2 linked regions of the Nothobranchius furzeri genome follow. The main gene of each other region encodes a partner of the protein of the gene in region 2 in a complex. Links are inferred from orthologs where the notes say so. Each region holds a gene or a part of one and is shown on either strand. Other genes may lie near its edges.

Region 1 (5,539 bases), on a different chromosome or scaffold from region 2:
TGAGAGTTGGACTCAGTAAAGGCTGCCCTTTGTCACCGATTCTGTTTATAACTTTGGATAGGTTTGGACAGGATATGGACAGAATTTCTAGGGCGCCGCCAATGTGTTGAGGGGATTTGTATTGTTGGCCTAAGGATTGAGTCCCCGCTTTTTGTAGATGATGTAGTTTTGCTTCATCAGAACGTGATCTCCGGCTATCACTGGAACTCCTCTAAATCCGACACCATGGTCTTGAGTCGGAGAAGGGTAGAAGGTCTTCTCCAGGCCAAGGATGAGGTCATGCCCCAAGTGGAGGAGTTTAAGTATCTCGGGATCTTCTTCACAAGTGAGGAAAAGATGGAGCGCAAGATCGACAGGCGGATTGGTGTTGCGTCTGCAGTGATGCGGGCGTTGTACCGATCTGTCGTGGTGAAGAGAGAACTGAGCCAGAAAGGAAAGCTCTTGATTTCTCGGTCGATCTACATTCTAACCCTCACCTATGGTCACGAGCTTTGGCTAGTGACCAAAAGAACGAGATTGTGGATGAAATTAGTTTTAGGATGACTGGACTCTTCCTCAGAGAAAGGCTGAGAAGCTAAGTCATCTGGGAGGGGCTCCAAGTGCTGCTGCTCCTCTACATCGAGAGGAGCCAGTTGAGGTGGCTTGGGCATCTAGTTAGGAAGCCTCCTTAACACCCCCCCGGTGAGGTTTTCTGGGCACGTCCAACTGGGAGAAAACCTAACGGAAGACCCAGGTCACACTGGAGGGACTGTGTCTCTCAGCTGGCCAGGGAACACCTGGAGCTGGCCCAATTAGCTGGGGAGAGGGAAGTCTGGGCCTCCCTGCTTAAGCTACCACCCCCGCAACCCGACCCCTAATAAGCGGCAGAAAATCGATGGATGGATTTATTAGCATATTTTCTCCCCAAAGGAAAGAGAGGTGTCACTTTAAACTATTTTTTTTACTTATTTATATCAAGTTTCCAACAGTGGATTTTTCATTCATTTATGTGTTTATTCATTTAAAATGTACTCAAGCGTCTCGTATTCATTGGTTACATGGAAAAATAAATGTTTGAATAAGCTTCCTTGCATCACTGCAACTGGGATAATGCACCTTATTTTTTTAAAGCTTAATTTCCATTCCAACACATTTAGGTTGAACTGAAGCCAAAAACTGGATTATGTTGAAGCGGTTGTTTAGGAAAGGTGATTCTCTGGCAAATAAAAGCTTCCACGCTGGAAACTTGCTTTAATTATTTTATAAGCTTTGTGGTGTTGGTCTGAATTTCCCCTGGTCGAGGTCTGTTACACATTACCTTTAAGAACGATACTATCATCCCAACCATCCCCCACGTGGAGCCTGTCACTGAGTGACACAGCAAGTAACACAACCAGTCTGTTGCACCGTCTGGCTACTCTTTACAGCTGTCTTCAGTCTACAGTGTAGTAGGTTTAAAGTGCAGACCCGTACAAGGTCCACAAGAAGGGACAGTTGGTTTTACAGCCTCCTTGGGCTCAGTTCCTTTGTCTTGTGTCTTCTTTGTCCAGCTACTCACAGTTTGCAAATAAAGTGAGTCTAAAAGCTTAAAAAGGGGGGTGATTGTTAATAAAAAAAAGTCATGAGGTCAGAGTGAGCAGGGCTGTTGTGAGAGTCATTGTGTTAAAAATATCTTTATTGTGGTGGATCATGTTTGGGTAGGAGGGATCACTTTGCCCCACTGGGCCAGCCCTGTGGGCAGCAGATGAGCTAGAGAAACTTGTGTGTGTGTGTGTGTGTGTGTGTGTGTGTGTGTGTGTGCACTGCTGAGCTGTGAGCAGAAGAGCCCCGCCAGTCAGTCAGCCTGCTCCAACTGGGCACGCTCTCCAGCCCAACAGCTCGCCTCTGCTGTTTGCTCCAGATGATGCCTCGGATCTAGCCAACCCACACGAGTAACATGAATAAAACACTGGAGAAAATCCACACTTCTGGAAGCCTCGGACAGAAAACAGGGATTTTTCACAGTGGTGAGTGTAATGTGAGTGGCTTTCCCAGCCCAGCCCTCATCCCACTGCAAGAGCCTTTACTGACACCAAATGCTCAGAAGCTCGGGACCAAGCTGTGTAAGGGAAACAGGTAAGACTCATTTTTATTTATGCATGCTGTGTCACATTTGCTGCCTGTATTTCAAATTGAAATAAAAATTTTCATACTTTTCTAATCTCCTATATTTGAATCATACACAGTTTGTGTTTGGAGAAGCTGGTCAGAAAGGTGCTGCTTTAGTTGTTCCTTCAGTGCGTTTCAAACATCAAACACCTGTTGCTTTGAAGGTGACAAACGTTGACTCAGTAAAATGCGCACTGGAAAACTTTTACTTACCTTCAGTTGCATTTTATTTAGAGTGAATTATAGTTGATTTTATAAATCTGTCTTTTTTTTGTGTAAAAAAGGTGCACAAGTTTAGCACAATGAGGGCCGTTCCCATTTCTCTTATCTGCTGTTTTATCAAAAGTCTGTTGGTGAGTAGGCGTGTCCTCAGGTAGCTCGAAGCAGGAGGGTTCAATGCAAAAATCCTTCTAGCTTATCACCTACTTAATTCCTAATTTGCACCAAAGCAACATTGAGTCTGTTAATCTCTTTCAAACTCCAGACATAGCTGCAGATTGTCTCTATTTCTCACAAAGTTGCTTATAAAATGTTAATAACTATCTTGATTATCTAATTTACAATCTTTTGTGTGCTACTGCTGCTCTCCTCTGTCCTTGAGCTGTTGCAATAATGTAATGACCCCACTGAGGGACAAATAAAGGTTTTATTTTTCTCATCACTTTACAGCTTTGGTAAACACAATGCAAACCTTAGTGCTTGGAATTGAAAAATAAGAATGTAGCATTGCCAAAACAGAGCAATCCCTCATGAATTATTACACAATATCCGCTAATGTTTCATTCTCTCTGGTGCTTTTGTTGGCTCGTTTCAGGAGCGTTCGAGAAGGAGGAGAGTCCTTATCCTCTCCTGTTCCAAAGCCTTTCCCTGAGCTTCTCCCATCCATCACATCTGAATGTTTATTGCCATGGATGAAAAGTAGCACAACTCAGGTGAGTGTCCTTATTTGGGACAAATTACAGCCTCTGCTTCTCCCCTGAGCACAGATCCTAGGTGTAGTTTAAACAAGGGTCTGAAAGCAATTGCAGGTCATTTCTGAAAGTCACGTGAACTCCTAGTTCCATAGTGTTTGACTTGTAATTTTGTTTGAAACCTCAGGATATGTGGATGGCTCGACCGGTTTTACAAGTATGTAAATCAGTCGCAGAGAGGAGATGAGTGCTGCGTTAGAGTGCACGGATGATCTGCATGGTTTTACATGGGAAAATGCAGGTTTTTACTGCTGCACGGCGGCCGCCAAACAATATGAAAATGAATAAACAAAGTGAGGTGTTGCACCACCAGTGGATGTTATATTTGAAACTTAATAAGTTTATGGCTTACCCAAGAAATACCTGGCCCAGTGCCTGCAGCTCCACTGTTTGTTTTAGCACAGGGTGTGTGATTATCGTGCACTGCATGCTGGGAAGTACTCGACAAGCTTTCACTGCGATACAGATGTTGAGACAGTTTCGGTTGTTTTTATTACACAGTGTTTTCTTAGACTTTTAAAACCAGTTGGCTTTTGGTTAACTCCTGCCTGCAAATGCGTTTTTTTTTTTTTTGCAGTTCACACTATAAATACCCGACTTTGGGCACAAATATTGTTTTGTTTAAAAGCAAATTGATGATTATTTTATTTTAGAGAGACATTTGAAGCATCTAGTGTTTTTTGACTTGGTACAGCAGTTTTTCAAGCAGGGTTTGTTAGATTTTGCTTGGACTCCATCCTCCTTGTGTTGCCTGTGTAGAATAATTTGGGAACAAATGGACTTTTTTTTTGTGCGCCACCATACTTTATATATTTCTTGCTTCAGATCATCAGCAGTTTCATTGCAGTTGTTTATAGTGCTGATTGTTTTTACATTCTAGACATTAGTGCAAGAGAAGAATCTTGATTAACTGATTATTTATGAAAAAAATATTGCTGGGGTAAAATATTTGGGATAGTTGTGGAGGGACACTATCCTGCAGGTTTGAGATGTTTCTCTGTTCCAACACGCCTAATGTATCAGTGAAATCATACCCCTAGCCTGTCATGTTCTGCAGAAATGTGTTAATCCCAGATTTAGTTAGTGAAACCCAATAAACTAGGTGTCTTGAAGCAGGGAAGGTATCTAAAGTATGCAGGTTAGTAGCCCCCCATTACTGAATTGCAGTGTTGGGAGTAATGTGGTACAAAAGTAATTAATTACTGTAATGCATTCCTTTTTGCTGTAATGTGGTAATGTAAGGCATTACAGGGAAAGAAAATGGTAATATTTACTCGGTACAATTGTCAGTAACGCGGTAATTACAGTGCATTTTTAACCCTCAGGAGGCAGGCGTTGCAGAATAGCAACGTTAAAACCTACCTACCTGGTTACTCCACATACGTTTCTTGAGCATTTTTTAACTCAGAAGTATCCCTGAAGGACTTAGTTGTTTGTCCTTTTATCAAGACTAATTTTGAGTCTGAGAGGGTTAAACCCAGGATCAAGATGTGGGTTTCTTAAAAATTCAAATTGTGGGAAGCCCAAAAAAAGATCCAGTATCTATTCTATGAGCAGAGAGGACGCAGCAGTAACAGGTCAGATACTCCAGCTGCGTCCTGCGCGCGGTTGCTGTAACATTCACAAAATCGCTCCACCAAAACAAAATAATTTACTTGCAATCGTTCATCCGTCCATATGCTCTGGTACTTTAAGTACTTTTCTGACGTGCTTTGCCTCAGCTGAGTTCATAATCTGTGCCTCGGTGAGCGCAGCACATATTAAGCTTTTTTTTTTTGCGTTCAGTAGACCCCTTTGGTTGATTAGTTAGAAAGTCAGAAAGCTAGGGAACAGTTTTTCTGGAAGTCTGGGAAAACATGCAGCATGCAGGAGGGTTAGAGAGAGAAAGGGCAGGAAATTATTCAAATGCAATCAAGAAAACAAAACAAAGTGCTTGAAAAGAAATAAAACTTGGTAGATTTATCCCCAATACACACTGAAAGGCAATAATCTATAAGCATAATATTTATACATGTGATGGAACATCACCAGTCCCACATCCAGGGCCGTATCAAGGCATTTGGAGACCAAGGCAAAATAGGCTTGGAGCCCCCACCACCTCACTCCCTGCTCAGTTAATATAAGATGGCAGCATGCTGAGAGTACAGATTGTTGTTACATAAATTGAATAAACAATCATTTTAAAGCACTGTTATTATATCTGACTGTTTTTAACAGCAATCCTAGCTCAGACACCACATCACTTTCCACTGGATGTGTCAAGAGTTCACTGAGCGTCAGATTACCAGATTCATATTGAAGTTGTATTGGTGAAAGTAACTTCAAGTAATGAAAAAGTAGTGTAATGCCTTACATTTTAAAATCAGTAATATTGTAATGTAATGAATTACTTCAAAATGAGGGTAACAAGTAATAAATAATGTATCACAGTTTTGAAGTAA
Region 2 (5,004 bases):
GCTTGGATTGTGATCGGCCCGATCATCTTGCTCATTCTGCTGCTGTTCCTGGCTGCTGGTGTCATTTTGGTTATCAAGAAGAGGTGAGATGTGACATCATCATCAAGTGTGCTGTTGTGTCGTGAGATCATTTACAGCATCTCAGATTTATTTTTTTTCCTGTGGTTGTGTTGCAGGCAAAGTGATGGTCCATTAGGAGATCTCATCACATCTCCAAACCCTGAATACTTCAGCGCCAATGACAGTAAGAGTCTTGTAACACAACTAAAACACATCTGAATACGTTTTCCAGCAAAATTTTGCAGCTAATGTCTAAAATTGAAATATACGGCAACCTGTTTCTACAAACACCGACAGCAGTTGAAGGAGCGTAAAGAGAACCAAAATCAAAAGAAATGTTAAAGCTGCTGCCTGTGGCTCATTTGCGTTGCCAAGGTAACCACAGTCTTGTGATACCCTAAAGTTAAACCTCAAACTAATAGTTGCTGTGCATAAACTATTGACCATCTTCAAAACGGTCGTGATCAATGAGAGGCGGAAGAGTGTGATGGTCGTACATTTATTAATGTTTGTGTCTGAGTTTTATGTAAGAGATACAGTTTTTAATAAAAAATAAAACTTAAAAAAAAAAAGGAATTTCAGGTGAACTGGAGGGTGTACACCAGGGCTATTCAATTCCAGCACGTTGTAGTGGTTTCTCTAGTCCAACCCACTAGAGTCAGTGGTTGAATTACCTACGCAGCAGCTCATCAGGCTTTGCAGAAGCCTGTTAATCGCCTACTAATTAAAATCAGGTGTGTTGAAGCAGCGTTAAAACCTAAACATGCTGGATACCGGCCGCCCAGGCCCGGGATTGAATCCCCCTGCTGTACACACTTAACTCAGAATTTTTGGGCGAAAGAAGTCAGAAATGTTTCACATTTAATGTGTATTAAAAACACCCGTTGTGTGTGAAGTTTAAGTTTTCAAATATTGAGGAAAGCTATGTCACATGAAGTAGAAAAATTTGCACCATAATCAAAAATTTGTTTAAAAACCATAAAACGTTTCAGTTCTGTTGTTTCTGATAAAGATCCTTTTCTTTTGTAAGTTACAAAAAGTCCTTTTTTCTCTCTATTTGTCTTCTCTGTTCAAGACACCCATAAAAATCTTGGTTTTTTTGTGCAGTGTACGTCCCTGACGAGTGGGAGGTGCCCCGGGAGAAGATCACGCTGCTCCGAGAGCTGGGCCAGGGCTCCTTCGGCATGGTGTATGAGGGAAATGCTCAGGACATTGTCAAAGGAGAGCCCGAGACGCGCGTCGCTGTCAAAACGGTCAACGAATCAGCCAGCCTGCGAGAGAGGATCGAGTTCCTGAACGAAGCGTCCGTCATGAAGGCCTTCAGCTGCCACCACGTGGTACGAAAACCCTCTTAGAACGTCCAGCGGGCTGCTGACTCACAGCACCTCACTGCTCTTTTATCCTTTAGCTGCAACCAGTGCGTGTCTCAGAGAACCGTGACTCACGTGTTGTGTTGGAGCTGCCATACTGACACACAGTTTGACTCCAAAACAAATGTTCACACTCAGTAGGCGATTGCGGCGGCCATTACTATTTCATTACACAAGCTACTAGGCATCAATTGAGCCAGCATGTGTTGTGCTGTCAGCTGTGAAAACATGTTGCGATGAGAGAGAATTTTATTATTTACCACCTCAGGAGGAGATAATTCATATCGGAGCTGTTATTAATTCATGTAGGAGCTTGAAAAGCTTTTATACTTAACACACACAGAGATTTCAGAGTAGAGGCCGTCCGATATATTAAATTTTTTCTATATCGGCTAAAATTATTTTTAAAAGCCAATAAAAACGTTAAAAAAATTAAGCAGGCACCTTTGTGGCCAACTGCCGCCACTACTATGCTGAAGAAAGGACCCGAAGAACCCAACACACCATTTCTTTAATGTTTTGATTTTGTTTTCTATTTGACGTTCAATGAATATAAAGAGATTTATTGAATATTTAATTTATATTGCACACGGTGAGTGTCCAGTTGTCTTTCACAATCAATGTGCTGCTAAAACGTATTTATATCGGCTTTAGATATCAGCAACAATATTCTTTAAAAATCAGCATCAGCCTAAAAAAAAAACATGTTGGTCGGCCTCTATTTCAGAGTTTCAGAATCATGTTGTTGTTAGCCAATCAGAGGCGAGATGACAGAATATCAGGAAATGAGAATCTAAATCCTGCCGCCTTCTGCTCATCTCTCCTCTGGTTCACGTCTAGTTCCTGAAACAGGAGCGCCAGAGCTTTTCCCCCCACACAGATCGACTCACAAGGCATTTATTTATATTTGGTCTTTAAAGCAGGCCTTTAAATGATTTTAAAACTAAAGAAACATTGTCTTGAGCTGGGAGGGTTTGGTGTGTGTCATGCTGCGACTTTCTGTTTTACAGGTGCGTCTGCTGGGGGTCGTGTCCAAAGGTCAGCCCACTCTGGTCGTCATGGAGCTGATGACTCATGGTGACCTGAAGAGCTACCTTCGCAGTCTGAGACCGGACTCTGAGGTTCGTTCTGGTTATCATCTAGTCAGGGTTAAATCGGTCAAAGCAAAATAAACTGAAACAAGATTGAAGGTTGTGATGTGTTCGCCAAAGGGTAGAAGCTGATTTTCCGTGTGTGGTTTGCAGAACAACCCATCCGGCTGCCCACCGCCCACTCTAAAGGACATGCTGCAGATGGCAGCAGAAATAGCTGACGGCATGGCCTACCTCAACGCCAAGAAGTTTGTTCACAGGGACCTGGCAGCCAGAAACTGCATGGTGGCTGAAGACTTCACAGTAAAAATCGGAGGTACGGCAGTCGTTTTGTGTGTTGTGTTTTTGGTTTTGAGGCAGATTTGGGTTTCAGAGTCGGTCCTGATGCATTGATCTCCTGCTGTCAGACTTTGGCATGACTCGAGACATCTACGAGACCGATTACTACCGTAAAGGAGGGAAGGGTCTGCTTCCCGTTAGGTGGATGGCTCCGGAGTCTCTGAAGGACGGAGTCTTCACGGCTCACTCAGACTGCTGGTACGCCACGCCTCAGCGACTTGCTGTGTAAGCTCTGTTATCCCGTCAGCTCACCCTGTCACCACGTTGTTGTGTGTGTGTGTGTGTGTGTAGGTCTTTTGGAGTTGTGCTGTGGGAGATCAGCACGCTAGCAGAGCAGCCTTACCAGGGTTTGTCCAACGAGCAGGTCCTGAAGTTTGTGATGGACGGAGGGTTCCTGGACCGCCCGGACAACTGCCCAGAGAGAATGTAAACACGGAATTTGTTCATTCATCCATTCTTTAATGAGGAGTCCTCGCAGTGATCTGTTTGAGTCTTTTCTCATTGTCTCGGTCTTCTGTTGCTAGGCATTGCCTAATGCAGATGTGCTGGCAGTACAACCCTAAGATGCGTCCAACATTCCTGGATATCATCGAGATGCTGCGGGACGACCTGCACCCATCCTTCCAGGAGGTCTCCTTCTTCTACAGCGAGGACAACAAAGTCCCCGAGACAGAGGACTTTGACCTGGACCTGGACAACATGGAGAGCATCCCCCTGGACCCTTCTTCTTATTCCCAAAGAGAGGAGAGCTTAGGCAGGGACAGCGGGCCATCGGTGGCCCTCAGGGGGAACTACGAGGAACACGTTCCTTACACGCACATGAACGGTGGCAAGAAAAACGGAAGAATCCTATCATTGCCCAGATCCAGCCCATCCTAACATTTCCTTATTCCTAAAAAAAGACTCGATTCACCTTTGCCCCCCTCCAGTTGAATTTTCTGTTCTTTTCACAGTTTTCTTATTCGTAGAGGAAGAAAAGACGCAGATCTCAGGACTTTTCCGTTTCTTCCTCACCGCTGTCCAAGACGGGCAAGCAAGGGATGCAAACACGTTTATAAAACTTGCTCCACGACACATCAGACTCTATGAATCTGTGGTGACACACAGCCATGTTTCCAGGACTCCTCGTGATGGAGAAAAAGTGGGGCGGCGTTTAAATAAATAACAAACTGAAAACTGTGAACACAGCAAACTTTAGCCAACCAGGACAGCTGCTCGTGCCACAAGACTTTCTCTGCATTTCCACGTTTCTGATTGTTTCTGTTCTCTCCAAACTTCCACTCAGATTGTGGCCTTTTCTACGTGGCCTGCAAAGAAAGAATCGTGTCTCTCAGCGTTCTTAAACTTGTTTCCTTTTTGTACACCTTAATCAGTGGGAGGACTTGCAAAGACTCAAAAGTAGAACATCTGATTCCTCCAATAAAGATTTTGTGTTTTTGGTTCTGCAGAATTCCAAACGGCACACAGATTAATCCGGTGTTTAGTGAATAGTTTTAATTTATTGGCTTCCCTTCCCTTCTTTTTTATTTCTCTGTCCTCATTATGTGGCTGAAGGATATTTAAACAATAATTGGACAAGAAAGAGTTCATCAGACTGACCAATAGCTGCTGCTTTCATATGGTTTAGTAGTTATAGACAAATCTAAATATATATTATATATATGGTATATAAGAAGTATGGGTGCTTCCCACCCATACTTGATTTATATACTGTATGATGTTTTTGTAAATACTGTAGTTCATATCCGTAAGGTTTTTCACCACAGCCTTTGCTAGTGTTGTTTGTTTTTAACCCCAGAAATCACACAAATCTACCGTCAGCGCTCTCTGCGCAAGTGTCAGACCTCAAGTTCCTGCTGCATCTGGAGGAGAAATCCCTCTTTTCATATCAGAGCAGTCACCATAGATGGAGGCAAAGTTCCTGCTGCAAAATCCCACCTGACTACAAATCAAAGGGTTATGAAGGGTTGTGAGCAGGGCCGGTGCACAGGTACCAGTTTGCGTTCTGACGTTGCATCCGTATGAGCGGTTTTTCAATCTGCTCATCAGAAACTCACAATCTGAGCGCACCCCCTCTCCTTCCACTATAGTCCTACATGAGATGAGTACCAAACACCTGGTATTCGAGTACTCACAAAGTTACC

The links. Proteins that work in one complex are often made in the same cells at the same time.
Region 1: the proteins of insrb (region 2) and grb14 are in contact, whole or in part, in a crystal structure (PDB 2AUH), measured with the Homo sapiens proteins. The link is inferred for Nothobranchius furzeri from reciprocal best matches to the Homo sapiens genes INSR and GRB14. Residues at the interface, in NP_000199.2 of Homo sapiens: Leu1065, Arg1066, Ile1069, Glu1070, Lys1112, Arg1116, Arg1163, Met1180, Arg1182, Tyr1190, Lys1192, Gly1193, Gly1194, Lys1195, Gly1196, Leu1197, Leu1198, Pro1199, Val1200, Trp1202, Ser1207, Leu1208, Lys1209, Asp1210, Gly1211, Gln1235, Asn1242, Glu1243, Leu1246; in NP_004481.2 of Homo sapiens: Glu373, Asn374, Ser375, Leu376, Val377, Ala378, Met379, Asp380, Phe381, Ser382, Ser386, Val388, Ile389, Glu394, Val398, Ala399, Glu401, Glu402, Gly403, Leu404, Trp406, Arg407.

Annotation. Positions count from the first base shown.
Region 1 is NC_091754.1:19,800,162-19,805,700, reverse strand, and holds the start of grb14 (growth factor receptor-bound protein 14), read left to right. Parts: upstream 1-1,741; 5' UTR 1,742-1,915; coding exon 1,916-2,094; intron 2,095-2,941; coding exon 2,942-3,059; intron 3,060-5,539. UniProt on the Homo sapiens protein: Adapter protein which modulates coupling of cell surface receptor kinases with specific signaling pathways. Binds to, and suppresses signals from, the activated insulin receptor (INSR). Potent inhibitor of insulin-stimulated MAPK3 phosphorylation.
Region 2 is NC_091748.1:58,182,948-58,187,951, forward strand, and holds the end of insrb (insulin receptor b), read left to right. Parts: coding exon 1-83; intron 84-176; coding exon 177-244; intron 245-1,167; coding exon 1,168-1,397; intron 1,398-2,440; coding exon 2,441-2,551; intron 2,552-2,674; coding exon 2,675-2,837; intron 2,838-2,928; coding exon 2,929-3,058; intron 3,059-3,151; coding exon 3,152-3,286; intron 3,287-3,384; coding exon 3,385-3,739; 3' UTR 3,740-3,963; downstream 3,964-5,004. UniProt on the Homo sapiens protein: Receptor tyrosine kinase which mediates the pleiotropic actions of insulin.